Lonchura striata: one gene and its partner. The protein of the gene in region 1 interacts with the protein of each later gene in a pairwise test. Links are inferred from orthologs where the notes say so. Each region holds a gene or a part of one and is shown on either strand. Other genes may lie near its edges.

Region 1 (16,202 bases):
AATAGCTTTAATAAAATTCTTCAGAAAAAACAAAACTGTTTCAAAAGTTAGTTAGAACAAAGGGTTGGTGTTAGAAAATGCACTGTGACACTATTTTCATTTTAATACCCTTTACCTGAAGCATTGTTATACATTAAGGGCTTCTAGTACTGATGCTGAATGGGATCCCAGTGAACAGCACTTCCCTGGGCAAGTGTTATCCCTGCTACAGCCTTGTGTCCCTTCCAGGCAGGCTTCCCAAACAGCCCCAGGTGCAGGTACCATGAGGCTCTCTCAGGGCCCAGGTCTCATGCTTTGTGTTAACAAAGCTCTGAGGCCAGAGCTTTGCCCACGAGCAGCGACTGGGGCAGGGAGGCTCCAGTGCGCAACTGAGCGCCCTCAGCACTATGCTGGCATTAAGACAAAGTGTAATTATGTCTCTCCACCCTATACAGTTTCATCTGATTTGCAGCTAGCTACTGAGGTCCTTACCTCTTCATCTTCACCTTTAGCAATGTAGGAAGTAAAGCCACCATATTCAGGATCCCACTCTTAAAATAGAAAAGAAACATTCTTAGAAACCACAGTGCTGTTCATGCTCCACACAGCCTTCCAGGAGATGCCATTTTTCACCTTGCTCTCCAAAGTTACTGGATACAGGGTAAGTATTTACCTCCTGCCAGTCTATTTGTTTTCTTCTGTTCAGAAACAACTTGAAGCAAGTGTACTGGATTTGCCTTTTATGGTAGATGAGCTATTTAAAGTTGCTTGGTGCACCGCTCCTCACCTGTAGAACAGTTCTACCCTAGCAGATATACCAAAGGATTTCAGTCAGCTGTACATTTTGGCCTCATCTGGTCTAAAATGCTTGTGGTTAATTTTTTTTTTTTTTTTTTTTGTTTTACCACTATCTAACTAGCAATCAACCCAAAATGCCTAGGTATGCCTAAAGTAACTTTTGAAAACGTTGACCTTTGTGAACTGGACGTGTAGTAATAATTCTGATGAGAAAAGGGTAGAACACTCCTGGTGGGTACTGTGGCCACCTGAGCCTGCAGCGCACCCAGAGCCATTGCTCAGCCTTTCCCCCTGTCCAAGCGCCACCTCCTGGCGCAAGCGGAAAGGCCAGAGATGATTCCAAGGCCACAATCCCAAACTTTTCCATGAGGACTACTGGAAACAGGGTTTATGCCGAAGTGAGGACTAAGACAAAGTCTACAGAAACCTTCTATGCAGGAAAAAGCAGGGAAATTTTGTGTGTTTTAGAACTGCTGACCACTCAGAAGTCATTCCTTTATGCAAGTCTTGTGAAAGGAGAGTCTGACATCTCTCTCTCATCCACTTACCTTCACAGCCACAAAAGAAGAGCAGATCAAGAGCAAATTCTGTGGCTTGAGAATCATGGACAAGAGTGTAGTGCCCGTGGGTCCAGCGTCGCAGCTCCCCCGCACACACAGGAGTTCCTGAGCCTAGGAGAGGGCACAAACACCCAAGGGAGAGCCATGAAGGCACATCAGCTGAGCTCAAAGCGTGTGAGGAGCTCAGTGATCTCACACCACTGTGAGATTTGCTCCATACATCCTTTGGTCCTGGTAACTGCTCTGATGGGATTTTTTAAGTAGGACTTGTTTTTATATTACCTTTTATTCCAGTGTCCACTAACTTGTCTTAGTGCAAGATGAGCATTTTCAAAAACTCTACCTTTAAACTTCAGAGCCACTCTTTTAAATAAACATCATCAATCAAAACCCAAAATTAATCTAATCTTTCATAGTTGTCACTGCTGACAACTAAATTCAACTAAGGTTGTTTAGGCTGATGGTGTTTTCTGAAAGGTTGAATCCTAGTTTTAGGTATCAATTTTCTAATTCTAAAATGGTTTTACTTCTGACCTGTTCACCTGTCTCTTTTGGATTTATTATCTCATACAAGAATATGCTTTATATGACGTAGGGGTACATGGATGTAGAAACCATGTAACTATTGACAGAAGATGAGCAGTCCCCCCAAAAGTCCCACCCTTAGGACTTAGGTCTGTTCAAAATGGCATCTTCAAATTATCATTGATTTACTCCAAATTCTTTTGCAATGGTCACTGATTTCAGATAATCAGTCTAAAAAGCTTCAAGTCCTATGTTTGTGCTGGTTGCACAAACAAGGTGAAACAAACTAGGTGAAGCACTAGTTCCATGAAAATCACTGGGAATTTTGTTTGAATCCTTTTTCACTGCTGCTGCTCTACTCACTGCTCTGAGTCTCGCCATCCTGTGCTTCAGGGGTGTTCTCAGGCTGGTGTGGCTGATGGGGATTGCCATTGGCTCGTTGTTCAGTCTCTTCCTGCTCAGATTTGGGACTGCTTTGCCCACTGGTGTCTGCTGCTTGTCCCTCCCCAGCATCTTCATCCTCATCAGAGGGAGCCAGGAAGTGCAGTTTTAGGCCAGTGAAGTTGGAAAGCAATAAAAATAAGGCCTCAGAGCGAAGTAGCTGCAGGAATTTCTTCAGGGTGTCAGGGAGGCTGTGTTCCTCTGCTGCCTCATAGAGTCTGAAAGACAGCAGATGTATCTCCTTGTGGGAGAGCCAACAAGGACCACATCTATAACAATAGCACTGACCAGTGCAGCCTCCTGGCAGCTCCTGCTCAGCACACTGGTGCAGCGTGCTGTCATTCCCCACCTTTTATTGGCTGGCCCTCGACTACTCCAGTGGATCTCTTTGTTCTCCAATGCTTCACATAGTAGTTGGTACTTCTCTTTCTAGGAGAAAGAGATGCAGAAATGTTAACATTTAGCTCCTAAGAAAACAAGGTTGAAGACAAGTGATCTATTTTTGCTGAGTCCTGATGCAGTGGTTTACAGGCAGTCAGAGGGGATAATTCCACAGAATCAGAGTGGTTTTTGGTTGGAAAGAGCCTCTGGAGGTCACCTGTCCATTTTTAGGTGTGAAACTTAGAAGGTGTTTTGTTTTAATGGATGTGCAAGGAAGTCCTCTCCCAGCCTTCGTGCCATGTAGTACCTGCCAGCCCTCTGACCAGTTCTGGCAGATCACATCAAATTCAACCACTGGGCTCACCTTAAGAAAGTCTTTCAGGAGAATTTCTGATCGCTCCTCAAATTCCTCCTGGATTTGAGCTTGGGAGTCCAGGTCCAAATAAACTTGATTGATCCACTCATACAATATTTCATGCTGGAAGGGAAATGGATTAGAACACTGAATTTTCAGAAGTGAAGAAGATTCCCTAATTCCTCCTACTGAGCTGGCCACAGAGCTGGATTCCTACACACAAACACACTCCATTGCTTTATTTCCTTGCACCACAGGTATTCACCACATTCTCTGAACTACTGTAGGTATGCAAAACATACAAAGATGCCTAAGAAAGAAACTGGATACAAATTTATCAACAGGAAATGAAAAGGAGAATGGGATAAAGATTAAAGCATCCCCAGTGCATTGATGCATTCCCCAACAGGTATTACAGGAACAGGACAGAGACAGAAATGCAGATATACTGTTACTCACATCATAGGGGATGTGTGGGCTTCTGGCCAAGGGGGCTTCAATGTGCCGTGCAGGTCTGGCCACAGGCGAGCCGTGGAACCAACCACTCACTGACAGGCGGCACTTCTGCGACACAACTTCTGACACCTGCAACAACGGCGGGCAGCACGTCACGGGTCAGACCAGGCGTAACCAGTGCCAAGCAAATTCATAACAGGAGATGGACTCTGCTCCAGAGAGCCCACTGCACACACAGGTATGTCAGACAGATTATCAGAGAGAGGCCTATTGTCCTGAAGTCCATTGCAGGTTTCCAGAATTCCAGTCTAAGCTTTTACTCCAAGTTCACAGAGAATGCATTCTCTCTCTTACTCTGGGAGATTTGAGTAATGGATTTTTAAGACAAAATTAAACCCAAGTAGATGCTGCTCTTAATTAACAACTGTAAGACATAAATGACACAAAAACAGACCCCTAAGTGGCCTATGTCAGGACATGCCCAACCTATATCACTGATCATCTTCCTCCCCAGCCTTCTGCTCTCTGGCCTTGTTTGATGTCCCTGGTACTCTCAGGTACACAGGAGTGTCAGATTTCAGTCAGGTGTTTGTGTCATGCAGCTCCCCAAATTATTCATCCTGTTCCCAGGCTTCTTCCCGACAAGTGTCACAGAGTATTCCTTAACTGTATCAGCATTTCTGCTGCAGGGTACTGCACCATGTCTGTGCCACTGAGGGTGTACAGCCAGATCTGCAAAGTGCCCTTGCACTGTTGGCAAGGTGATGAATGGCCTGAGGAGCTCTTCTGGAGCAAAGTCATGACCACTACATCAAAAATGTGAGCTAGTTTAAAACAAGCTAACAAACAAGCGAGAGCTAAATTCAAAGCAGTGGCTTGCCACGATAGTAACACAAAATAGAAATGGAAATTTTTCTTTCACAGGATGATGCAGCTAGACTGATGGTTTAAAGTTGGCTTTGTTGGTTCTTGTCCTCCTTCAAGTCCTTGAAGCCCTTCTTTAGCACACAGCACTTAGCACAAGTATCCACTCTACCCACCATTCTTCTCTCTCCCCATCAGGACAGTAATAACACACAGAATGAATAACCACAACAATGAGGATTAAAAAGTTAACAAGAGAACGCTCCTTGCCTGATGGAAAGAGACTGGAGACACTTCAAAGAAAACCAGTGTGTTCCATGAAGGCACTAATGACTTGGTGATTTGCTGTGGCTGAAAGTGTTCTGAAGAAGAAAACATACTCTGGTTAAGAAAGGAACTGGGACTTCTCTCTGACAACATGATTCTGTGACTGGTGGGACACCTGGGTATAAGGCATGGAGCTCAGAGCAAGGGCTTGGTGAGGAATCAGTGCATCTCTGCATGGAGACAGGAAGACAGAGTTGGGGCTGTTCAGCTTGGAGAAGAGAAGGTTCTAGGGTAACCTAAAGCCTCTTCCAGTACCAAAAGGAGCTACCAAGAGTGCTGTAGAAGGAGTTAGGACAGACATGGCATGGAATAACAGAACAAGGGAGAATGGCTTGAAACAAAGGGTGTGTTTAGATCAGCTATTAGAAAGAAATTCTTCACTGTGAGCAGTGAGGCACTGGCACAGGTTGCCCAGAGAAAGTGTGGATGCCCCATCCTATAAATGCTCAGTGGGGTTTGTAGCATCCTGGTCTAGCAGACCATGTCCCTGCCTACAGCAGGCGGGCTGGAACAAGATGAGCTTTAAGATCTCTTCCAACCCAAACCATTCTGCGGTTCTGCTGCTGGAAAGGGAAGTTTTTGTCATCAGTCTGGAGTTCCAAGCACATTTACTGGCATCACTTCCATCTTGCCTCTACTCCTGACCCCTCCAAAAGTTTGTCTGCTGTTGCCTGTCTGCAAAGCCTATCCCTAAGGGGCACACTTTACATCAGCTTCTCCGAACAAAGGAGAAACTCCTTATTTCCCTTCTACTGTTTGGGGTGAGAGTTGCTGCAAGGGGCACATAAGCTTCATCTCCTTCATCTATCTGAGGCTGAGCTTGGAGCTTTTACCATCTGTGCTGTACAGATCCAATGTTCCCCCGTCACTTTTCTCCCAGGGTGGGACGAGGTATAGGATGAAAGCGATTCTCCGACCTTCCAGTTCATCATCGTGGCACAGCAAGACATCTGCAATTACACATGTTTTGCTGCTGTAGCATCTTTCCAGTACATGCATCATTCATGCCAACAACTGCTTCCCAGCTTTGTCCCCGCAAGGATACGACAAGAAAAAACATGTTCTTTCTAAGAACTACATTTTCACTCATTGGCATCAGCAGCCTGAAATCTGCAAGATTCACTTCTGTGGGACTGCACTGCAATTGACAGATCAGGCCACTCTGAAGGTACAGGCAGTTATACACCAGCAACAGTTGTTTCATCATTTGTACTTCATTTTCACAGTTTTGCTGTTGACAGCCTCTAGGACCCTCTGGAACTAGCATACAAGTAGGTGTTCTATAGACGTTTTGTTCCCTACACATACACAGAAGCTCTAGGGAAAGGATCACTTAGAGACTGACCAGTATATTCATATTTAGCACAGGATATGTCAATAGTTGGCTCCAGCACTATCTGGGTCACATCAGAAAGCCACACTTGGAATTCTTCACACAGTGCATGCCTGAGAAAATAAGCACACAGTAAGTGTCCTATGTTATAAAACATATAATCATAGACTAAATTAATGTATTGCCTCCCTGCTAACTGTTTAAATGGTTACAGGTGCTGTTGCTGTGAGTGACAGTGTGTTTCTGTAGGATCACACTGGCCAAGAAAACAGCCCCGTGCTCACAGCACTGCTGGCAATAATCAGCAGCAAACATGCAACCAGTGGGAAGGTGCACTGTGAAGCTTGTCAGAGGTGACAGCTGCAGGAGAGCTGAATATGGATGAAAGCTGAATAGACTTCATTGCCCATGACAAGCACAGAGCAGATCCAGCTCTCCACAGCCGGTTTTTGGCCCGAGTATGGGGGCAGAAGGCGGCCCACCCCGCTTTCGCTGTGGAGCCAGCACGGCTCTCCCCCCACCCTGAGCGGGCAAAGCCCCGAGCCCGCGCTTCACCTCAGGGCAGCGACGTGGGGCTCCGGGCTTGCCCCCAGCTCCTCGGACTGCGCGGCCCATGGAAGAGAAGGGACGGGGTTAGCGTGGCTCGGCCCGGCCCAGCCCGGCCCGGCTCAGCCCGGCCCCGGGCCCACCTGCCGCAGCGACAGGAGGTCGTTCCGCCGCCCGCGGAAGCCGAGGCCCAGCAGTTCATCCCGCAGCGCCTCCGCGAAAGCCGGGTCCGCCAGGAAACCGGGAATGACACCGTGCCGGAACGGGGCCGGCTCCAGCACCACCGCTTCTGCAAGGGAAAGGCCGTCGGTGAGGGGCGGGGAGCCGGGCCGGGCTGTACCGTGCCGGAGCCGCTCCCCGCGGGCCCGGCCGGACCGTGCCGTGCTGTACCGTACCGTGCCGGAGCGGCTCCCCGCGGGCCCGGCCGGACCGTGCCGGAGCCGCTCCCCGCGGGCCCGGCCGGACCGTGCCGTGCTGTACCGTACCGTGCCGGAGCCGCTCCCCGCGGCCCGGCCGGACCGTGCCGTGCTGTACCGTACCGTGCCGGAGCCGCTCCCCGCGGGCCCAGGCCGCCCCCGCGCGCTCCCGCAGCGCCGCGTCCCCGAGGGCCGCGCTCAGCTCCGCGCGCGCCTCGCGCCTCCCGCGCTTGGCCGCCGCCGGCGCCGCCGCTCCGTGACGCTTGGCGGCCATGGTACCGTCCGGCCGGACTACAACTCCCTGCGGCCCCCGCGCTTCGCCAGCGATGGCCAATCGTATCGTGCGGGGAGCCGTTGGCCAATGAGCGGGAGGGGCGGGGCCGGCGCGGCGGGTCCCAGCAGGCGGCGCGGCGCTGAGGGCTGGGCGGGCGTTAATGGCGGACGGCGCTCCCGCCGCCCAGAAGTGATTGAGCGCTCCCGCCGCCTGTTCCCGTCGCTTCTCGCCATGTCCGTGGTGCCGCCCAACCGCTCTCAGACCGGCTGGCCCCGCGGGGTGAACCAGTTCGGGAACAAGTACATCCAGCAGACGAAGCCGCTCACGCTGGAAAGGACCATCAACCTGTGAGCGCCGCCTCGGGCCTGTCCGGCTCTGCCCCCGCCGTCCCGCCCCGCTGGCGAGCTCATCCCCGCTCCCTCGGCAGGCTCGGCGGGATTTTCCTTCCGATTCCGCCGTGCGAGGTCCGGAGGGTCCTGGCCCTTCGGAGGGCTGGGGCACAGCGGTGGCAGAGCCCGAGTGCCGATGGGGCCCGCCCCCCTCACAGGGGCTGCTGAGCCGCGCTGAGGGTACCGAGGGCTTGCCGGCCTTCGTGGGAATGTGGAGGATTTGGTGTAAATGTTTTAGTGCTTAGAAGTAGCGTCTGGCTCGGGAGTTGTGAACCCCAAGTAACACAGGAAAGGTCTAGGTGTGGTGAGCATCACAGACGTTTTCTTGCTCTCACAGGCATCCGGAAAGACGGCAGAGAGAGACAGGGTCTTAGCCTCGCTGGGGTTTGAGCTGATCCTGGGCAGTCAGTGGGATGTGGCTGGATGTGCCTGGTGATTGTGGATTATCTGGCACAGGTGTTGGAGATAAAATTCGGAGTGTTTCCTACCACAGAAATTTGTAATAGAGACAAACTACTTACTAATAAGTATTAATGTATTTTTTATGAGAAGTCATATATTTTTGCTTCTTCCAGTAAATCTGGTGGATTTGGGACGTGTTCTTTGCTATGTGCATATATCAAATTGCAAAAACCAGCAAATGGTAGCTGTAACAGTCAATATTTAATTTTAGCTATTAATCACTGACACTTTTGTGTTTTTTTGTGTAGCTGAGTTTATTCACAGAGTCATGTGGAAGTTCAAATATGAACTTCAGAAACTGCAATATTTCTATCGGGTTTCTGAAGCAAAGACTCATAATGAAGCTGTGTTACCAGCAGCATTTTTTTTAAGTTGAAGCTGAGGGTTTTGATGTACAGACTAATGCATCCACATTAGTATAGTATGGGTTAGCTTAATAGGTTATTATTAAAGTAATTTGTGTATCTAAGAATGGAAATGAAGAGAGAAAGAAATGTAGATGGTTTTAGACTATAAGTAAAAGTGGGGGAGCTTGTTAGTAAATGAACCTGTGGTTTGGAAGCTAGTTGTTTTGTCTACATGAGAAAAGGCTCCAACAATGGTAACTGGCTTGTTATTTTAACCACTGTAAAACATTAGGAAAATTGGAGGAAGAGGAGGGCTGGAATTTGAGGAGAGAAGAGCGTATGCTACTAAAGTTTGACATGTCTGGGGAAGGAATCCATGCCAAGAAGCATCTCAAGGAAAACATAAGACAGTCATTCATTCTGTTAATTCCATTGCTGTGTGCCACAAGTCAGTAAAACCATGGTGATAACTCATCGCTGCTCTGCCCAGAACCATTTTCTTCTCCCTTTTGACTTAGCTGGGTGATTCTGTCTTTCCTCCAGGCCTCCTGCCACCAGACCTCTCTGTTAAATGGATTTAATTGTACAATAGCACTCCCCTGTTGCCCTCTTGCTGTCTTGGGCTGACCCATTTCTTGCCTAACCTTTCCTTTCTTTGTTTTCAGAAATCGACAAGTTTCCACTGCACTGTTACAGGAGTGCAGGCACCCAGCACCAGCCCAACAGAGGGATCTGCTCACACTCTTGATCCTACCCTAGGTTCCCAACCCTGTACTCAGAAACTCAGCATGTCTCCTCTTCTGTGATCCACATGTCTGATTTCCCACTTCAAAACAAAACCACTTCTAACAGTTTAGTTCTCAGGCTTCATTATATCTGCAGAAGAAAACCTGCAGTCCTGTGCAGCTTCCTTCCTTCCCAGGAGAGCTTTTTCTCCAGTCTCTTTTCCAGCTCCTAGCAGAGTTTCACCTGCCTTTTCCCTGCAGCATGGAGATCAAAGAGGGTGGCTGTTGAACAACAGTTGGTTCTGTGCTTCTTTTCCTTCTTTTGAGCCTACACCAGGCTAGAGTGCAGCTCAACAGGACTGTCTGTGCTTATTTGTTCTATAGTGCAGATCTCCCTGGGACAGGGGCCTCATAAGCCACCAACAAAGATTTTTAGCCCTGCACTATGACTTTACCCATCAAGCAGTGAAGGATCTGTCTCAGGGTAGATGCTGTGTCATGGTGATTTAAAGTTAGATTTCTTGTTACGCAGTAACATTTTTTCTCCTTACAGGTATCCTCTGACGAATTACACGTTTGGTACAAAGGAGCCTCTGTATGAGAAGGACAGTTCCGTGGCAGCTCGGTTTCAGCGCATGAGAGAAGAGTTTGACAAGATTGGCATGAGGCGGACAGTGGAAGGAGTTCTGATTGTGCATGAGCACAGGCTGCCCCATGTGCTGTTACTGCAGCTGGGTACAACTTTTTTCAAGCTGTAAGTGTCTGTTTCCTAAGTGTAACTGCAGTTTATTGTCACAAACCAGTAAATGTGGGCTAGAGGTTAAAAGACATAGTTGGAAAGTATTTTTTGAATGGTGTGGTTTCAATCTAAAGTGTGTTTGACTCTGCTTGTGAGGGGGATGATTTAGTTTGGAACTGACTGGGAATCTTAGTTACAGTGCATCACTACAGTAAAATCTTGTTTAAAAATCATTACCAGCACTTGATGTGTTGTACTTGCATTGTGAAAGCTGCAATGCTTCAGTCGCTTATGCTGTGCCTGTAAAAATGGGCAAGTGGAGGCCAAGGACTAACCCCCTGTAAATGCAGAATGATACCTGCTTACAAACTAATAGCTGAGCTGGGATAGCAAGAAAGGTAGGCATCTAAATCTGAGAAAATTGCTTCAGTTCATCTCATAGTTATCACAGCCAGACTGAAGTTCTAGTGATTGCATACAGATGTAGTGATGGTGGTGATTTTATTTTTTATACTAGATGGCCTTGACTTGTCTCATGTTACCATGCTTGTGTTCTTGTTCTTCTGTTTTAACATTTTAGATTGTTCTCAATTTTGTGTGTATGTTAAGTAATTTAACTAATCTAGATTAGTTTTTGGCATCTTGATTTGAAGGGCTGTTGCAGACTAGACAAGAATGTAAACAATTTGCAAAATGCTGTAATGATGAAAATTAATAATCCTGCATAATTTTCCCACATGAGTTTTATTTTCTGCTTTCTCTATGCTTCAGTTAGTGCTGGCTTTGTGATAAGAACAAATACAGGCAGTATTTACAGCCCTTCAGCTTCTGGTTATTATTATTAAAACTTTACCCTATAAGGGACTGAGTTTTTATCATGTGTATTGTTATAGTTTGTCCTGCTGAACTGAAAGTATTTTATGTAATGGTTATTTTTTATGGGATGTAAATAGCCATTTTAATTTCAGTTGAGGTGAAAGCTATGCTGCTGTCTTTCAATTCAGCAAAACTAGATCTCTAACTCCTAACTTAAGAGCCATAAGCCTGGAAGCACACTGGAACTTGGCTGTGAAGATTGGTAAATGCAATAAAATAACTTTGACTTTCATCATTGATTATTTTAACAGACCTGGTGGTGAACTCAATCCAGGAGAAGATGAGGTGGAAGGGCTCAAACGCTTAATGACAGAGGTCTGTTTTCTGTCATTATATTGCTGTAGGAGAATGTTGCATTATTTTAGAATTACCAGAATAAGATAAAGATTAGAGTAGTCTTCTTACCATTGTTGTTATTTTGTTGCTTTTGTGATGTTCTCAGGTAGTTAACAAATAAAGCAGTCAAGTTTTCATTTATCTGCATCATGAGTGTGGCTGACTCCTACCTGCTGCTCAAGTCCTGTGTTCATTTGCAGCTTTGCTTTCTGACTGGCTTCAGGCAAGTGAGTGTAGAGATGAGCAATAAAATATATTGTGGAGGACAGCTGTTGGGGACTTGCCTTTGAGATAGTCCTCTCAATGCACCATTTTCTCCAAGTAGCTAAATTAATTCTGCTAGCTAATGTAACAATGTATTGCATTCTTCCAATTGGTCTGATAGGACTCAGTCCAGCTGAGTACAGCATAGATTTTTGAAAAGCTTTCTAGAGTGTCCTGGTCTTACCAGGTGAAGCTTTTACTGAAAAATCTCACTTTATATAAAAATACTCTACAGTTCTATTGAAAGCTGTCTCAGAGCAGTTATGAACTACATCAGACATATATTGCAGTAAGTCTTTCTGTTTCTAGTATGTGTTTAATAAAAGAATTTCCTTGAGGTAGTTTGAGGTCTGATTAGTACTAGATTTTTGATAGATACTGGGTCGTCAGGATGGTGTTCAGCAAGACTGGGTGATTGATGACTGCATTGGCAACTGGTGGAGACCAAACTTTGAACCTCCACAGGTGAGTACTCCCGTGGGCTTCCATCTTCTTTGGTCAAGTTCTGTCTGTACTTCTAAAAGCCTTCAACCTTCCAGATGGGCTTCTTGAGTACCTGCTGCATGAGCAATTTGTTTTTCTGGGTTTTGTCTATTTCATCTCCTTTCTATGACTGAAGAGAAACTACAGCCTTTTTTTTTAATGGAAATTCCTGTCTTCCTTCTCACACCTGTCCTGATGGATGAGAAACCACTAGATGTAGTAGCTTCCAGTTCTACATTGAGACATATGCACCATTTATATTCCTTTTGTAGCCACAATGGAGATTCTTGTACTGCTGCTTGTGGAACATGCCCTAGTCTCACTACCCTATTTCTAAGGGCTTTAATATTGAAAATCTTTGTTTAGTTTGCTTAGTTTGCTTTTATGCATTTCTGTTTTATTGGGTTGTTTTAACTGCTTATGATATTGATGCCACTTTAGAGCCTGTCAATAGTTGTGACAGCAACAGCATTCCTTTCCTAAGTACTTTCTTATGAAAATGGTTTTATTTGATGCCATGAAAGAATAATATATGACACACTGAAAACTTGTACAGGGCTTGATAATTTATAAAGTAGCATTTAAGATTACATAGTATTTTCAAAGCTCTGTACAACTGTTTTTTACCATTTTTCTTCTAGTATCCATATATCCCAGCTCATATTACAAAGCCAAAAGAACACAAAAAGCTATTTTTGGTCCAGCTTCAAGAAAAGGGTAAGTGTTTGTTTGGATCAAAGGGTTGTATTTGTAACAATATTTAAATGCCTGCATTTCACTCAAGGAACACAAAGTTGTGATTGTGTATGTTGTGGTATGTTATACCAAGATGTGTATGCTTGCAGTTGTTTGTGGTTGATCACTAACAAAGTTAAATGCTGGTATTTGTTTTGAAGGTAGATGATCCTTTGAACATGACTTCCTAGTAAATTTTTATTCCTGCTTGCATCAGTCTGTGTACAGGATGTGAATCCCATATTTAACTAAAAAAGCAATAAACCTGGTTGAGTGCTCTATGTAGTGAACTTGTTTTGAGGTCTGTGGGGAATGATGATCCCTTGGCTGAATGTGTGCTGGTTTTTTTGATTCATCAACTTGTATTTGTTTTTAGCTTTGTTTGCAGTCCCCAAAAATTACAAGCTGGTTGCTGCACCACTGTTTGAGCTCTATGACAACGCACCAGGATATGGACCTATTATTTCCAGCCTTCCTCAACTTTTGAGCAGGTATGTTGTATTTGTATAGTGGCTCTGGGAACATGGTTTCCTGTGGGACACCAGAGCAAAGCAAGGTGCTACAGAAACCAACTTGAAAAGGTGGCATCTATCCCAAAGATTCTGCTTCAGATGAACTGCATGGACACTTTTGAGGCACTGATCACAACTGGCTAGCACCAAAGTCCTACCTAGCAGCTGTAGTTAAGGAACACATGGAAGATGTGAGGATGAGGCTGTGCACAGACTGAGGAGCAGCTTCTTGTAGTTGTTGGAGACAGCTGGAGAGTTAAAGCCAGGATGTAAATTTGAAGCACTGAGTTAGGTATGCATATTATCACAGCTTTGTGCTGGTTAAATGTGGTGGGTTTTTTTACACTCTTTAGTAGAGCTAATGAAGTGTAGCATCTTTATGACACAAATATCTGTAGGGACAGCTGTATTTTTTCCTTTCTCTTGGAATGTATACCATGCTTTGACTTTATTACCTGGGAATGGCTGTGGCTTGTCTCTCCAGAGCTCACTGGTCTCTTACTTGAGAGCATGTTCAGGCATACTAGGAGTCCCACAGCCTGCCAGCTCTTCCTCAGGGAAGTAGTTCTGTCACCTACCTACTATGATGAAAAAAGTATGTTAGCACTGGTCTTGCACATAATCTTATTTCCTGCTGAGTATTTTTCTCTCTAGCCCAAATTTTGGCTTCCCCTCCTCTAAAGACAGCAGGTATTTCCTCTTGAGTACCAGCCAAACTGTCATGCAGGTTGGGTAGTGGTGCAACAGACACATGCAAAGGCTGGGCACCTGGAAGCTGAGATGGATTGCTTGCTTCCACAGTTATTTATGAAACTTAGCTGGGAAAAATTCTCTCTTCAGTATGTTTGTGTGTTCCCCTTGGAACATGTAAGGTTGGTCTAGTAGCAGAAGTGCTGCAAAAGAGTTGCTGATGGAGGAATGTAACTCTCACTGTGATTTATGTATCTGTGACCTTGTTTTAGGACATGAAATGTTAATAGTTAGTTCTTCTCAAACCATAAGAGACAGTTGTGCAATGCTAGTGTAGGATTGGCTGTTAAAAATGATATATATACTGCTATACTGTAAAGCTGTCTTATGAAAAAATGTACTTTTGTCCTGTCAGGTGGAGGCTTATCCAGAGCAAAAACAAAACATTTGCTTATTCATTCAAAAATGCCCTTAAAAAAAAGAATCAAAATTCCTCACTTGGTATAATCCTTTTAATTTTAGGTTCAACTTTATTTACAACTGAGTTCCTATATACCTGAAGACTCCAGTAGAAGAAGCCGTCTCTGTGAGCACAGCTTTGAACTGTAGAGAAACGAATATGTGTGACACAAGGATTTTTTGAAGTCTTTCTGTTCCTGAAGACCACTAAACATTCTAGGGTATGAACAGAGAAGTGAATTTCAACTGTTTAGCTAGAGAGATGGCAATGGGCTACCAGTGTTATAATCCCTTATCATTGTAATACTCACCAATTTTTTGTTTTGTACAACATTAAACAATATGGTTAAGATTCAGTTTGTCTTGGGTTTGGTTTGCTTTTTGTTGTGTTTTTTTTTAGGTTTTTTGTTTGTTTGTTTGGTTTGTTTTTCCTTCTGTTTATTAGTTCTTTTATTTTTCCTTATTGTCTCTTAGATGCATATTTTAAGCTTTATTATTTTCTTCAGGAATACAGATGATCTTGGAATGAGGAGGAGCTAAGCCATTCAGGGCCCATTCAGATGCTGGGATCTTTATCCGTGAGAAGGGAATATCCCTAGGATCAGGGAGAAATGAAATAGCTTAAGTGGATTCAATATTGTTTTAAGTCTAACTTGGAGACCAGAACTGCTTTTTTGAGGGAGAATGAGTACTTAAAGGCAAGCGTAGCCTTTACCTTTTTTACCAGAACCGATCGGTTTGTAACAGGGCTTGGAGGAGATGCAGCATGCATCTGTTCCTTCAGTGCCCCCTTGAGACAGTAACAACCCCAAAAATTCTGTTGGACTGGTCTGAGCTGCAGTTAAAATTGGGAAAGTGAGGTTAATTTTGTATATTTTTTCTTAGCTATGGGACAGAATTAGGGTCATGCTGAAACACTTAACCAATGCCACATGCAAGTGGTTCCATGTTATGCTGTCCTGTGCCGTCTCATCCTGCAAAAGATACCCACTTTTGCTTTTTCTCAACATTTCAGTTTCTTGTAGGCAGTAAATATCAATCTTTCTACTTCTGGGGATTTTACATGCTTGGCTAAACATAAAGTCCATTTGGATGTGACACTTCACAGTGCTTTTAGTCTTCCATAATTTTGCTTAATGAATGAGTCTTTGAAAGATTTGTTTCCAAGTTCTGCCTGTGATCAGAAGATGCACTGTTGCTTGTGCACTGTCCTCTTTTATGAAGGCAGGGTTGGAGAGCACCTGCTGCCAAGAGAACCAAATCTTGCCAAAGTGCTTGCTTCTGCTGCCATCTGCACTGGTAAGCAACGTACAGAACAATCCTGACAGCTTGGTGGTCAAATTGAAGCTGTGCAGTATGGCAAATGTACTGCAAAATGCTGGGAGAGTGCAAGGGCTGTTCACTTTGGTCCTATGGAAGGAAGGCCCAGACAGATGGTGAGTAGAATATATGGTTTCTCAGCTACCAGCTAGGGGAAATACAGGTAGCAGGAGAGTGGAAAACAGAATCTTTTTGCCTGTGGAAGTAAGAAAAGGCAGGTGGAAGTTTGGAAGTCAGATGCTGCAAGAACAAGGAGCAGAGTGCAGCTTTTGAGCCTTGGCACTTAAGAGCACCTTTCACCTTACCACACGGTAGTTTGCGAGACTAATTCTTGTTCCAGGCTGTCAGTGGAAGGGCGCTGCTCCTGCAGTCTCTACGCTCTCTCTGCCACCCTGCCTGTAGGTTTGGGGGCTCCCGAAGGCCCCTCTGCTTCCCCCCGGCGCGGCTCCGGCGGTGCGGCCGCTGTCCCGGGCGCGGGCGGCGCGGGGCAGGGCCGGGCCGGTGGAAGCGCCGCCCCGGCCGTGACTCAGCGCGCGGGGTGACGGGCGGACGCGGCGCCCGGAGCCGGGGCGGAGGGCTCGGGCCCGGTCTGTTTCCTTTATCCAGTGGG
Region 2 (16,075 bases), on another chromosome or scaffold:
GAAATTCTGAAATAGATGCATTTTTTCCTATGGTAGCATTTCTTCATACTAAAAATATGGTTGTTCTGTGAACACTGCAATGTCTTTGCTTTTCTTTTACGTGGAAGGGACTTAATGATGAATTACAGATAAGTTTCCTGAGCTCACTGCATTTTATGGAGAGAATGACAGGGTTTTATATCAAAGGTTGTAGAATCAAGTTCATTTTTTTCTTTTGGGATGCCAGCATAATTCTGAAACCTTTTATTAACCAGTTTAAGCTCCTTTTTCTAGCATTTTGAAGGGCTCCACTTGGCCAGAAATAAAGAGATTCATCCTTCCTTTGTTACACATAAAGGAACACTATAAAGTTAGATATTAAACTTTGCTAGTTATTATTTGGCTGAAATTCCTTGTTTTTTCTTCAAAAAATAATGACTTCAACCTGTATGGCAAAGTTGAAGGTTTGAAAATGCCATATCTACATTTCCACTATGCATAAGGCCTTCTCTAAATAGATCAACATGAAATAGAAATAAAAACATTAAAAAATATTCCTTGCGTTTGCAAGGATCTTAATATTCTGAGTCTGAGGAAATTAACTCAAATTTCCCTTCTTCTATATGAGCACTATTAATTGGAGCAATTACATAAAGCATAGGCAGTGATAAGAAGCATGTTTGCTGCAGTTTATTTTAGGGATATATATCCTTGTTTTAGGAATATAAATCCTGCAAACTGGATAGGAAAACCACAATTTTAGATGCCTCTGTGCCTCAAGACTGGATTATAATGATACTCAGACAAGGTTTCTACTCCTCAAACCAAGGCACATCTGCACCTACACCTGGATGAATCTGCATCAGCAGAGTCCCATCACAAGACAAGGCAATATTACACAGCAGAATCACTCAAAATCTAAAAGTCCCATCTTAAAAGACAAATGGATCAGTCACTCGCTCTTCAGTTTTCCATCTCTAAAAGAGAAAAGAACAGCTTATCTCCATATCCAAGAGGTGCTGGAAAACACCTTGGGTTTTCTTCTGGTATTTTTCACTGCATATGAAAACAATGACAATGGGTTCTTATGACAGAGATTAAATTTCTTTGTAGAAAATACAAAACTTGTCAAAATTATAGTAAAAGCACTCATGTGCATATGATTCAATACATTTTTTATTCATCTGTTGAGGATGAATGGAAAACATTTTAAGTCTATTAAAAATATACAAAATGTATATTCTCAATCAAATTATGACTATAATAATAAATGCATTACCTCAAAAGGATAATTTGATCCTTCTGGATGGATAATGTACAGACCACTTGGAGTTTTTGAAACTGAACCAACAGTATCTTTAATATGAGTGCAGTCCAAACCTACAGAAAAAAGGTACTCAAGGAAGTTCATGAGCAAAATATTTTTTAAAAAAACAGATTAATATAGGAAAATTACTTTTTTGGTGGCATGAATTATTTAAAATATAATTTTCTTCTCATGAAAACATTAAAATCATGCTTTGTCATGAATTTATCTTGCGAATTAAAATTCTCTAAACACCATCCTACTTCTAAGTTATTACAAATAACACTGTATTGATGCAGTTCTTTCTAATCTTAATAGATATGATACATACCTACATGAAATTAAAGATTATGTATCTGAGTAAATTTACATATTTTTTTCATTTTATTTATAACACCTGTACTGTGAAAAAGACATATTATCTGAGAAAATAAGTCTTTTTTCTACAGATATTTATACTTGTAAAGGCCTTTCCATCTTAAAGTACATATGAAAAATATTCCATTTGAAGAAGGATACTGCAGATGCAGAGCACACCATATTTCATTGCAAAAGAATGTACTATTTAACAGCCTCAGATCACTTACTAGCTAAAAATCATACTTGGTGTTTTACATAAAAATCAGCATGCTAAATGGGATGCCCAGAGTTCTCAATTGCAAATGATTTAAAGCAGTATTTATGATAACACTTTTAAACAGTTTATTAAGTTTATAGAGTTTATATGTCACTAACACAGGACAAGTGTCAATGTACAATTGCTTACCTTTGCTTTAATTAGCTCCTTTGCAAGATACAAAGATGAAAAGGGAAGGTGTCAAGACTATCTCTGAAAAATACTTACCATGAGATTGAACTGCTTTATAAGGAAGTGGATCCAGATGTTTTCTCAGAATTACGGTGTTCAAAAGAAGAAGTTTGTTCATAAGTTCATTTACCTGCAAATTCAAATAAAAGATCTTTAATTAGTTTGCAATGAGAAATTTTACATTTTAAAGATTTTTCTGACTCCTAGTAAACATAATGTGAAGTTAAGTTTTGTGATGTGTAGTAATTTGTACCAATGTGAAGGAATGGTCCTCCACTTTCCCTACTGCAATGTATGACACTAAGGTGTGAAATGGGATGCTTACCACTCCTCACAGAAATGGAAGCCACACTCTACCACAGCTACAAGGACTGGTGATAAGACACTCTAATTCTGGTGAATTAATGACAATTCAATGGTTTAATGACCCCTATTTTTCCTCAGAAAGATAACACCTGCTGTAAAAAATAACAAATACAAATCTTTATAATAAAGGAAAAAAGTACCTGATTAGAAAGGTAATCTAGCGAAGACTGTTGATCATCCATCATGTCTCTTACCAGTTTTTTTGTACTTCTGGCATATTCAGCAAGTGAGTTCTGCAAATTTCCTTCAAAAGAAATATGTTCATCCACTTTGTTTTCATAAATCCAGAAATATTCTTGACTAAATAACAGCATATTTATTTATGACATCTAAGTGAATACTGAAGGTGTTTTACCTTACAGCACCTAAAAGTGAAATGAAAGTAATACAGAGACCACAGATTAAAGCCAAAGGTGCTAAAAACTTCATACTTTCTGATTGCAGTACAGATATCTTAAGAAGTGATGGTTCTTCTCATGTTTTGGAGAAGAAATTAATCTTATCCTTGGGTAAACTGGACAACTCATTAATGGATATCACAGAAATATAAATGCATATGATAAAGGGCAGATCTATATAAGGTTTCTTGTCACCTTACATTTGCTCATTCATGGTACTACTCCTGGTTTTTGCTCTGATGCTAAAAATCTTAATGATCATCATAATGGCATATAATTAATAATAGATATTTTTAAATCATATGTGAAAACCAATAATTTGCACAATTATTTTCAGAGGCTGATTGTATAATTTGCTGTAAGTTTATCAAGCTAGTGCATAGAGAATGTCCTTTGTAAGCCTCCATAAAAGTAAGTACACATTTACTCCCATGTAACTAACTAATTAATTAAATCCCACTCACACCCCCACATCCAGCTATGACGTTTAATGAGGAACAGACATCCTCCTCTTCCTCTCTGCTTGAGAGAGATGCTGACATTCAGAGGGCAACAGCTGTAGGTGGGTTGTGTGGCTGCTTGGATCTGCCTGTCTTCACCAATGTCTCACACCAGCTGCATCCCTAAAAAAGGGTACCCCAGATTTTCTGGACAACACACAGTTTTGGAAGCAGGGTCACAAGGCTGTCACATGTGCTTAAGATTAAAAACAAAATTGCACAGCATAGCATAGCAGAGGAGAGGATTGCATAGCATAGCACTGCACAGCTCATCACTAAAAGTATTCTTCATGAATACATACTGCACATGTAATGTTTGTCCCCTCGTAAAATTTTAGCTTGAGCATCACATGGTACAAGGCATTGTTCTTTTTGTTTTGAAATATCTGCAGATTTATTTTTCTCTTCTGCCTGGAGTGGTTCCTCCACAGGTCCAACATTCCTTGTGTCCTGTTGTACCAAATAATGGAGGGGGAGATAAATTGAATATAAAGCACGAATAAGATAGCTCAGTCTGTCAAAATGGAGTATACTGCTTCACAGAACTTCCTTCAAAACATGTTTTTTAAAAGCTTTATCAAGCAATAATTGACAGAGCTGAGACCAAAACTGATTAGATGTTCTCTGCTTAGCCATACCTCTCAAAAAAAAAAAAAAAAAAAAGTAGTGTCAGAGGTAAAGAATAACCTGAATAAATTAAAAAACCACCACCACCATTTTGGTGAGGTATTCTATTTGTAAGCACTGTAAGTGGGAGGCAAGAACTTGCAAATTCTGCATTTTAGGAATTACCACACCCAATGGACAACTCAAATGCTAATGAACTTATTTTCACTGGAAATGAGCAGGCTTTTGGATTTACCTCATATTAGCAAAGTACTTTTACTCTTGAAAATCCTTAAGTTCATTATTTAGACATTGATCAAGGAAGTAATTGCATAACTTTTTAACTTATGCACACAAGCAATCACGAGAAGATTTGCAGACCAATTCAGCAGTAAAAAAATATTTCAATGTTCTTATAGGGGAAATAATAAAGGGACAGTATGCATAGGCACACAATTATCTGAAACAATAACAATATAGCATTAGTAAAAGTAGTTCCACCTATTCCTGTTATTTTAAAATTTTATTTTCATATTTAATAATTTTTCTTCCATGGTGCCATATGACATAAAATATGGGAATGCCTCTGAATCATCACTTAAAGAAATTACTAAAAGTAATTCCCAAAATATGTGTCATTGTCAAAAGACTAAGCAACATATTTTCATGAGTCTTTGTTTGATGATATCATCATCTCAGCAAATAATTTGTAGTATGTTCATACATTGTGTTTCCAAATGTAAACAGGATGCTTTAGAAATGTCAAGATTTTAATGAAAAACAAAAGTTATTTAGACTTGAATACATCTTCATCAGTTGTTCTTTTCTGCTCCAGTTTTCTTTCTGCAATTGGTACTACACCAGCCAGCACTGAACAAGGATTTTTCCCCTGGTTTTTGTTCTTAAAAAGTGAAAGTAAAAATTACAGAAAACTGTTATACAAAGAAATTTTACAATAAAAGGTTTATAAATTACTGGTATAATTGCATTTTGTGCCAGGAGAATGACAGAGAAGTAAAAGAATAAGTTTCTTTAATTTTGAAATAAACACAAAATAAAGAAGGAAAAATTATGCAAGAGTTATAAAAAGATCTCTAGAAACTTATAAATAGAACACTTGAAAGTATGGCTTGTTTCAGGGCTATCACAGCTACTCACCAGATGTTCAATTAAACACTGTTAAGCAAATATTTTTAATCAATATTTATCTTTAACAAAAGCCAACATGAAATAAGCAATTAAATCTGTTCTCAGCAATTCAAGCAAAAACTAACTCTGCCAAAACCAATAGTTACTCTGCATTTAAAGTCATGCATATGAGATTAAAAATATGACATAACCACTGAGCTGTCATACAGGACTCAAAAATGTTCTAATATACTGAATTCCTGCAATTTCAATGTAGTTTCTTTTCTCTATCTGAAAATACCTGATTCTTCTGTATTTCCATATCAGTCTTGAATAAGGCAATCCATATTTTTAAAACATCTGCCACTTTTCTGAGAAATCATTCAGTTACATTCATTATCTTATCTGAACAAAGTAAAAGAAAATCTTACCTTAGGTGAACAAGGTTCGCCATTATTTATCACAGTCTTTCCTAAACTGAACAAAAAAATATTAAGACAAATAAATGAAGTTACCCTAAAGTGGCGGTTCATCTTTTACTTGAAGAAATGCAAATGTTTTGATGGGTTTCAAATTTCTGTGGAAAGAATTGTACACTATGAAGGCCTGATCTAACTATTTGGGAATGTCTACAGCACAAAGGACAGCCAACACATCACTCCTTTACTGCCTGGATTTAATAAACCACATTTCAATTGCACAGTAGATTTTATATATTACTACTTGAATCCTGAAGGAAAATTACAGCTTATCACCTCTACATGACACATCAAACATATATTTTCATTGTCATAAACTCTGACAGATTTTCTTATATGCTATTCTTGAGCATTTTTGTATATTTGGCATGAGTGTTCTGGGTTGCTTGAAAGAAAAACTAGTATCACTTGATGTTTTCAGATTTTTACCAAGTTTTTTTATCATTAAAATGAAAGAGTCTGTACTGCTGTGGTGATAGTGCACTAGAACAGGATGTGGAGGCAGTTTTGGAATATGTCATCAAAGTAATTTCAAAATAGAGAACTGAATAAACATTATTTTAAATTAATACTTCGTATTGCATAGAAAATCTTTTACCAGGAGAATAACAGCAGTATGTTGGTTTCACCGGTAGCCCACCCATTGTAACACAGGTACTGAGTCTGTCATTCAGTACAATGATTTTTATCTCTGAAAAAAGTCAAAGTACAAGAGAATGGCATGAAAAAGAAGAAAATTAAATGCTTAATTAAAACTATGGGGCACTTACAGATTTCATTCAATTCCACTACTTTTGTATCTTAAAACTGGATCTGACAGTCTAAGAGGAAAAAAAAGTTCACAAAGGTCAAACATACTTAGAGAATTTAGACACATTAGAGAATTTAAATTGTTTGTGATCTGGCTGAATAAATGAAACCTCAGCTTCCAATGTACCACTGGGAAATACACTGTCTAAAGGATCTTTAAAATACAGTGTTAACCTGCATGTTACACCGGAAGAAAATGTTTCAAATTTGGCTTGATAATGTGATTAATCTCCACCTCTATCTAAAGCTGGAATACACTGGAAATAGTTTTTGCTACTAAGACTAGTTGGGAGCAACCAATATTTGTTGGGAGTGGGGATTAATACACTTTTTAATCCAATGTTTTCTTTGAAAATTAATACCTTAATGGCACTAAGAACCTGTAACTGAGAGGAGTATATTGAAATGCCTGTGAAATTCTGAACAACTTTGGCTCTTCTGTATTTCTCAAAATTATTTTTTTTTTTCTAAAGTACCACATGGTACATAATAGTTTTCCAATATGAGAATTACTAGGGTTTAATTAGTGCATCACTTGATGCTCTCTCCAGAAGATGCAGGTTGTGATCATTAGTTCAGTCTAAGGAAAAATGTGAAAAGATTTCCATGGCTCTCTATATATCACATTAAGGGCAAACTAACAGTTTTTCTTCTTCTTTCTATGTACATCAATAGGTAGAGTGACAAATTTCAGGCAGGAATAGTTAAAATAGTCAGAACATTATCTTCTCCCATGCAGTTGCCTACACAGCTTGAAGAAAAACTATGGAGCATCAGCAGATTAATCCTCCACTGGAATAAGAAGGAAAGAAAAATGCATTTCTGCAGCAGCACAGCTATGCTCTAGCCTTCAAATAAGACTTGTAATAAATTCAGAATACATCCCACAAAGTTTTAAAAGCTGATCTTATCCTTCACTGGAATATCAGTGTCCAGCCCAAAGTAAAATTTATGAAACTTCTTTCAAACCAGCTGTCAGAGCAGGACCTTCCATTCTGTAACTACTTAAGATCAGGTTTCTTGCTGCCCCAGAATAATCATACACTTCTGAATTACATGGCACTCAGCTTGTCACCTTCTTGTCCCACAGTCTGAAAAATGTGAGGTTACTCATGAAGAGAAATTATCCAATAACCACAAAGAAGGACTATGGAGACTTAATAAAAAAGTAAACAAGATAGAAATATATATAAACACTGAGGAATTTCTGAATCTCAATAGGTATCTTAAGGTGAAGCTGCAAGTTGTGCTGTATTACATGAAAATTTTCAGCAAATCTAAGGAAGCTCAAAATCTGTCAGTGGCTTGAGTTGACCATGACCTTCAATCTCGTAGGTTGAAGTGATGTGCACGGGCCCAAATTCTGTCATTTCCCAGCTCTGTCTCAGTTCTGATTGGGTGACTCAGTTCTCCATCCTGATAAAGCCTTCTACTGCATCCTAAAATAAACAGTGCATTTTATCAGGCAATCTGGGAATTTAAATGTGGGGGGGGGTTGAAAAGCCCACAGTGGTAAATTGACAACCACTTTTCCCCCTTCTGCAACAAAACAGAACAGATGGGGCAAAGAAATGGTGAAATTTGGGTTGATTTTTTGAAGCAGAGTTGAAAGACTTCCATTTTAGGGTGGTCTTCTAAATGGCAGTAACTGGGATACTATAAATATTGAACACATTTGGCAACCTGCCCACCACTGGTCTTGACCGTAAAATGGTAACAGCAACACCCACTTCCCAAACTGTGCTACAAATATGAGGGAGGGGTCTGTGGAGAAAAGTATTTTACAAATGCGGAGTACTATTTTTTTTACCTTCCTAGTCAAAGACATAGAACAGCTGTACACTGGGAAAAAAAAAAAAAAAAAAAAAAAAAAAGGAAGAATTGGTTTAAGCTCAAATACATCAGCCAAGAAATGTCTCCCCAGGAAATCACCAAGGCATTTAGCCTGTTGCTGACAGCTCATCCAAGGCAGGGCAATATCCCAAGACAACACCCTGCTTTGCTTAAAAAAAAATATAAAATAAAAGGGGGAAAAAAAAAGGTTTTGTAGTCATTAGAACAAACTGGAGGGTTTTTTCGGTTTTTTTTGGTTTTTTTTTTTTTTTTGTGTTTTTTTTTGTTTTGTTTTGTTTTTGATTTTTTTTTTTTTTTTGTTCTTTATGTAGCTGTATTCATAGACTTGTAAATATTTTTTATATAATAGTCATCATTTTGTGCATCAACTGATGCACAAAACATCTTTGGTGGTGGTTGTTGCTGTTATTTCTGCATCCTGTGTTTAAAAAGAAAAAAAAAAGTTTATGGTGTTATCTCCAGGTCTTCAAGAAGCCTAAGAGGCACCCGCACCGCAGAGCTCTGCAAAGCCCGCACACGGGGCCGGGCGCAGTTTGCCCACGAGCTCGCCCGGACCCCGTGTGCTCGGGGCTTTTAGAGGTCATGCCGCGGCTGCAGAGGGTGGAAAGCGCAGCGAGAGCCGAGCACCGTCCCTGGCAGGGTGTCCGCACGCTCTCCCGCCGGGACGGGACAGCGAGGAGCGGCTCCCCCGCGCGGCTCCCACCCTGGCGGCGTGTCACGGTTTGACACGAAAGGGAGCTCAGCCCCACGAGGACCGCCGGGCGCGGCGGCTCCCGGCCGCCGGCCCCGCAGGCGGCGAACGCGGAGCCGCCGAGCGCGCTCCGCCGCGCCGCTGCTCCCGCCGCGGCCCCGCCCCGTTGCGAAGGAAGCGGCGCCGCCGGTTGCTACGCGGCGCGGAGACGCGCGGAGCGGCGCGGCGGGGCCGGCGCTGCATGGAGCTCGGCGGCACGGAGCTCGGCGGCACGGAGCTCGGCGGCACGGCCGGCGGGGCGGCGCGGGGGCAGGTCCCGCCCGGGGCCCCGCAGGACCGCGCGGGCGGGCAGAGCGTCCCTGCGTATCCTTGCTGCGGCGTTTCCCGGGCCGGCCGAGCCTGCGTGCGGCCCGGGCCGCGCCGCTGCGTGCGGCCCGGCGGGCGGCGGCGGGGCCGGGGCCGGTGTCGCAGCCCCCGCCCTGCCCCGCGGTCAGGGGCCGCCTCAGGGGCGTCTTCAAATTGGAACTTGCACGTTGCGGGTTTGAAACTGCCGTGGGAAAGTTGACTGCTCCAGCAGCTTCGGAGTTCTCTTGTTTTCCCTTTTCTGGGAGATTATGCCACTAGGAATAGGGTTTTCCATCCTAACTTGGGGGTTCTTGTTTTTTGAATCTTAGTAGTAAGAACTACTGACGCAAACTCTTAAGATTATTTACTACGTAAATAATTACTGGCATGATGCAGGACTGACCTGGCTCTCTGGAGAGCTTTTATTTAGTGATGTTAATCAATTTCAGTGAAAACAACTAATCCTTTAGGGTGTGGGAGTGTGTGTGTGAGGGGATGTTTACTATTTAAAATTTTCCTTCTCATATCTGCATCCTTATGTTACAGGTTTAGGTAACTACACAAAATGTCCCTTCAAATGAATATAATAAAGGTGGGATTTTTCAGCTGGTGATACAATGAAAGATGAGTGTAAAGCCTCTCCTAAAATGCTTTTTAAAAGTAAAGTGCAATTATTTTTTTTTCTAGATGAGCATAAAGTTAGTTATGACTGTAAACATACAATTATGGGACCTCCTTTATATAAGGTCAATCACACAGGCTGTTATATCTTTTAATGAGCTGTTCCATACAGTTTCTATTGTCCTTAACACAGTCTTAGGGGTGGAGATTTGATATTTCATTTTGAGCAGGATTTACAAGAAGAACGTCGGGCATTGAAAGAGGATCAAAAAATGCATCGAAGCAAGGCAATGAAATATTTGATGGAGACAAACAGAAGAAGAAGGCAAGTAACTAGGGTTCCTTTAATGGAGGATTGTAAAAAAAAGATAAAACCAAAGCAAAAGGAGTCATAACCTTGAGACAGATCAATATATCTCTACTATTCTCATGTTCATTTTGATAAATAGCTCACTGCTTTGGCCTAGAGGAATTTAAGCTGAAAAGTTTCAGCAATCCAGTTTCTTGCTATAGGACAAATAAAATAAAACGAGCAATATTCTGATTTGCTCACTAATTTTTGAAAACTCACTGTAGTCACATCTCATATAAACTAAAGGTAAGTAGTACTTTCATCTTGTGGCTCTGATCTGCATTTCTAGTGTTCTGGGTTTTATTAGCTTCAATGCATGTATGAAAAATGCACTCAGCTGTACAGAGTGGGCCAGCAGAAGGCAGTTGTTGCTTTCTGAAGTGTGTGCTTTTTTGTCTGCATGGCATAACAGCTGCTCAGCTTCCCCTTCATGCCAAGGCTTTGTGCTCCCATTTCCCAATAAACACAAAGCAACATTTTTCTTGTACAGGATAATACTTATAATAAACTTATTTTGTACATTTTAAACAGAGCTTTGCATAATCTGTCTTCTGCATACATGAGAATGCAAAGCCATGAAATATACTGTGGCAAATGGATTGAGTAAATTATGCACTGAAATGTCTCAGTGAAGTGCTGTGAGTAGTTCAGTGGGAATAGAGGTTTTTCCCCTAGGACTGAGGTGGTGCTCACACATACAGGGGGCTCAGCTGTGTGTACTGGAGAGGCAGATGGGTTCCTCCTTGCAAGCCCCCAGCCTCAGACCAGCTTCCTCTGCCTCTTGTTAACTCACTAATGCTTGTGCCCTGCAGTTCCCTTATCTGATGACTTCTGTTGTGCAATGTTCACTTATTGCATATGTTCATAACTCAGAAGAGAGGTGGTATTTATTGTTTATATTGCCATTTTAGCCTGACAGTATGTGCTGTCAACTTACCCTTTGAAATAAAAAGAAATGGAAGAGGAGATAAAATCAACTGTGAGTAATTAAAGACAGAGTGCGACCCACAAACTTTGCAGATAATAAACTAAGTCTCAGTTGAAAAATTAAATACCTAATTTCTTTTTCTGGAACAGAACCACTGCAATGCTACACATCTCAGATGAACACTGTTTATTGTAATACTGGTCTTGAAATATTATACTTTAATGTAAAAGCAAGTACCAGACAGCCTGCATATTTTTGACAGACTGGTGTAGTTAAAGTAATACTTGTGGATACATAAATACATTTCCATATGTATTTCATTGCAGCCTTAGGAAACACAGTATAAATCCAAGTTACTCAGGTGAGTCACTTAGAAATTTAGGTATGGTATTCGTAAAACAAAGTAATTTCAATTTGTGATAATTGAGAATGGCATAATTATTAGCACAATAAGCAATTCAAATGGAGTCTGTGGTAACAAGTGTTCTCCTAATAACTGAAAAGGAGTGAGTTAGTTAATGTTAGAAAGGTAGAAAATGCATACAATGTTACAAGCTGTGACATAGATAATTAAAAATCCTGTATATGTGCAGGAAAGTAATTTGAAAATAAAGTTCTTTGAATCTACATATTTTTTTCCTGGGATTTATGCAGGTATGAATTGATTAATCAACCCTCAGGTTGTGTCTCAAGTCTATATGATCCAAGTTCCATTAGCTTTCTTATACATGTGAAGGTGTTAGATGTGATGATGGTTTCTCAAGAGTAGCATGACGTTCTTAAACTCCACATTCTCACCTGGCAGCACCCAAAATTCTCCCTGCCAGGGCTTACAGGTGTATGTCAGGAGTGTTCTTGGCACTGCTAGTGTATGATTTCAAAAGAAAATTTGTATCTTTTGCATATTTTGTGTGGAGTGTAAGAATGAGTGCACTGTGAAGTGTGACAGACCTCTAACCTTCGCATAGAATGGTTGAGTTAGGACGGGACCTCTTGATCTGTTTGAACACCTCTACTCAGGAAGGACAATCCTCCACAACCTCTCAGGGCAATCTGTGTCAATGCTGTCATCCTTACCAAAAAAAAGTGTTTCCTGATATTCTAAAGGAAACTTCTGTGTTTCTGTTTGGTCCTGTCAGCAGGCATCACTGAAGACAGCCTGGCTGTCTCCTCTTTGCACCTTCCTTCCAGGTATTTATAGACATTAAGAAGATTCCTTTGAGCCTTCTCTTCTCCAGGCTGAACAGTCCCAGATCTTTCAGCCTTTCCTCCTAGAGAGATTGTCCAGTTCCTTCATCATCTCTGTGGCCTTTCATTGAACTGTCTCCAGACTGTCCAGATGTGTCTTGTACTGAGGAGCCCAGAGCTGGACACAGTCCTTCAGCTGTGGCCTGCCTAGTGCTGAGCAGAGGGGAAGGATCCCTTTCCTCTGTGTGCCTGCTAGGCTTTGCGTAGTGCAGTTCAGGATACCACTGACCTTTGCAGCAAGGTTGGTCCTTTCTCTCAAGTAACAAGTTTTACAGCATGAGAGGAAATGGCCTCAAACTGCATGAGGGGAGGTTTAGATTGGATACTATGAAATTTTTTTTCATGAAGATGGTTGTCAAGCATTGGAAAAAGCCCATTGGAGTGGTTGCATGTAGTATACTTCAATATGTGGTTTGGTAGTGAACTTGGCCGTGCTGGGCTTGTTTTTGGAGTTGATGATCCCAGAGGTCTTTTCTAACCCAAATGATTCTATATTTCTATGTTGAATGAAGGTGTTAAAGAGGATTTGGCCCAGTAGTGACTTCTAGAGTTCACCACTATGTACTGGCCTCCATTAGGACTTTGTGTCACTAATCACCACCCTCTGGGCCTGGCCATTCAGGACGTTTACATTCCACTTCACTGCTTATTCAGCCTCTCAGCAGCATCTCATTTATGAGGATCATAGAGGACACTGTACCAACAGCCTTAGTAAAGTCCAAATAGAAAATATCTACTGCCCTCTTCTCATCTGCAGGACTGTCATTTCTTTATAGAATTTTATGAAGTTGATCAAGCTTAACCAAATTTAGTGTCAACCTTAAGTTTATAAATTTTCTACTAAAAAAGTAAAAGCAGTTAATTCCCTTTAGGATGGAACACTAGTGACGATACAGAAGAGTTTCTGCTCTCTGTTTAATCTTGTGTCATTTAGGTTAATTCTCTTATGTTGCTTTGTAGAGGAAAATTTTTCTGTGGGTTTTTCTTTGTGATTTTTCTTCAGGAACCACTAACAGGCCTCCTTTAAACAAGGCTGTACCAAAAGATTCTAGCAGATTGAGGTCTTCTGTTTTCAACTTTTTCTATATGTACTGGTAATGAATTTTTCCCTGATGGTCTACTGTTGATTTATTGTCAATACTTCTAAAATGCAGCATCCTCAGCATTAAAAATAGTCAACTTCTACAAGCTGTACACAGTTAATCGGTTTAGTAGTAAAAACACAAAATCATCATTTGCTCAGAAAGAACAAGGATACGTTTGGAAATAAAAGTCTCAGTAACCTAAATTTCAGATCCTTTTCAATCCCCCTGATGTAATCTGTTTCTTTGCATCTCTTGTACTGACCAAGCTCCTTAATTTTGTTAACACCAGTACTTCGACATAGCAAAATACCCTAGCCTGCAGTTTTTACAAGTTGCCTGAGTTTCAAGAAAGTAATTTCTTTATTGTCTCACTGATACATAAAGTTGCAATTTCAAGATCAGATTAAGAATCAAATATTCTCTGGGGCAGTAACTGGCAGATATTTTGTTTAAATAACAGTATTCTGGAAATAAGAGCTAGTGACAAAGCACGTACTTAATGCAAATGAATAGGATATCGTATTTTATGTTTCTATAACATGCTGCTTTCTAAATACCAGCTGTCACTTTTGCTGGGAACTATAGATTTTGTGCTGTTACTGCTCAGTGCAAAATGTGTTTCCCATTTTACTGTGATGTTACTGTCTGCAGGTAGCCGGTTCATTCTGGAAATGCAATTGTCTATGTGCATTGTAAAATAAACCTTACAGCTGGTTGTCTTGGTTCAGCAATAGCTAATCTGTCTGTTGAAACTGGGGAAGGAAATCTGTATCTGTTTCCAGTCTGTTTCCAATCTATTCCCAATCTATTCTTCTTTCCGTGAATACTTTATTTTCAACATAAGCACAAGCTGTGTGCTCCACCTACTGGCTGATTAACATTGATTATTTCATAAATGCTCTTTAAATTATTCACCAGTTTTGTTGATTGAGAATGAAAAGCAGTCTGTGGCCAGAAATATGAGAACAGTGTAAGCACTTGGTAAATAGAGAGGCAGAGTGTTAAGAATTTTGTATTTCTTTCTACATCAGAATGGAACTGTGAAAAGTAGGTGATCACTGTAACCACTATGATGTGGACTTGAAATGCAGTATTGCCATTTTTGATAATGAGCCACAGGATTGTGCTGAATTAGCAAGGACTTGGAACAGATGCTTGCCAAACTTGCTCTCTTTGAACTTTTCTTGACCTGACAGCAGTTTTGTTTTGCTTGGTTTAGCTGTAACAGCAATTTCTCTAAAAGACCGGGTGTCTGTGGCTAATTTTGCCTTTATCTTTTTATTGTATGACCATAGTTTTATGTACATAGCAGTAAGAAGCAGTTATTCTATGCAGAGGATGAGATATTTATGACTCTAAAATCGTGAAGTAGTATTGAGAAATGCAGGCCTGGTATGGTAACAGAGGCTTTGAAAACTGGAGGTGTAGGATGTGGCATGGAGGAATACAAGCAGGGAATGGTAAGAGATGGCACACAGGCTTGGCACTGGAGACCCCATGGCTATAATCACGAACAGTCAGCTAAAAAAGTGCAGAACTAGATCTGACAAACCTGGCTTTTAGAGGTAACAAAGAGAAGAAAACAATAGTATATCACATACAAAGAAGGCACCATGTATGGAATATTCGGAGGAACTGTGGAGCTGCAAATTGATGATGATAGAGCAGAGGTGTAAATGTGTATTAGCAAATTCAGAAATTACTCCAAATGGATTCTAAAGTGAGGGAGAGAAAGCATTTACATGAAGATCCTGTTGGTCCTGCTGAAGGGACTCCTGATGCTGCCTGTTCACCTTTAACACTCCAGCACAAACAGAAACTACAAGCCTTGGGATGCAAAAGAGCAATGCAAGAATGAGCATCAGGAAAAGAGATAGAAACTCAATATGTGAATAACTGTTCAAACTGGTATATCACTATTATTGACCCTTTTTCTGTATAGAAGTATTCTAACAATATTATTATTTTTCAGTAACAATTCTGGAGTTATAATAATTGGACTCTTAAGATTTGAATTATACTAATAAAAAAAAAATCTTGACTTAATAAGGTGTTCTTGGGTTTTGCCTATGAACAAGACTTGGAATAGTGCAGGCAGCCCACCTGTGGACCTTTGGGGGCATATTTGCAGGACAGCCCTCTGTGAGCCCATACGGTACTGTAAGGGTTGGTTCTTCTGAAGCTCTCGCATTTCAGGCTGTCTTTTTAGGTTCAGCATACAACAATCAAAGATGAAGGAATAGATTTAATATATGTTCCTGATCTTGGGAAGTGTCTGAGATAAAAAAGTTGATTTCTGATCTTTTTAAGGATGTAAGATCGCTTCCTGTTTGCCCATGAAGGAAATTTTGAGTCTGACACTGCATTTTAGCCTTTTCTTCATCCTACTGCAGTCATTGACAATACAAATATCTCCCTGCCTCAATTTTAAAATTACTGCGCACTGGTTTGCAACATGATGTGGCAATGGAAGAATAATAACAACTTTCATTTCATAGCACTCCATACACACTGTATATATTCATTTTTTAATTATAATTTTCATCCAATGCAGTAGTAAGCATTTAGTCC

Evidence for each region.
Region 2: the proteins of NUDT21 (region 1) and CEP126 interact in a two-hybrid assay, tested with the Homo sapiens proteins (2 studies listed by BioGRID and IntAct). The link is inferred for Lonchura striata from reciprocal best matches to the Homo sapiens genes NUDT21 and CEP126.

What each region holds. Positions count from the first base shown.
Region 1 is NC_134615.1:15,559,589-15,575,790, reverse strand, and holds NUDT21 (cleavage and polyadenylation specificity factor subunit 5), read left to right. Parts: upstream 1-7,373; 5' UTR 7,374-7,486; coding exon 7,487-7,602; intron 7,603-9,731; coding exon 9,732-9,932; intron 9,933-11,044; coding exon 11,045-11,108; intron 11,109-11,768; coding exon 11,769-11,858; intron 11,859-12,517; coding exon 12,518-12,593; intron 12,594-12,987; coding exon 12,988-13,102; intron 13,103-14,335; coding exon 14,336-14,357; 3' UTR 14,358-14,628; downstream 14,629-16,202. Other genes in the region: prolyl 3-hydroxylase OGFOD1, read right to left, coding at 472-530, 1,326-1,448, 2,226-2,521, 2,653-2,732, 3,049-3,162, 3,499-3,624, 4,630-4,721, 5,520-5,636 and 1 more. UniProt on the Homo sapiens protein: Component of the cleavage factor Im (CFIm) complex that functions as an activator of the pre-mRNA 3'-end cleavage and polyadenylation processing required for the maturation of pre-mRNA into functional mRNAs.
Region 2 is NC_134604.1:42,128,665-42,144,739, forward strand, and holds the start of CEP126 (centrosomal protein of 126 kDa), read left to right. Parts: upstream 1-9,219; 5' UTR 9,220-9,288; intron 9,289-10,090; 5' UTR 10,091-10,163; coding exon 10,164-10,216; intron 10,217-16,075. Other genes in the region: ANGPTL5 (angiopoietin-related protein 5), read right to left, coding at 1,259-1,359, 2,130-2,223, 2,600-2,703, 3,660-3,807, 5,523-5,624. UniProt on the Homo sapiens protein: Participates in cytokinesis. Necessary for microtubules and mitotic spindle organization. Involved in primary cilium formation.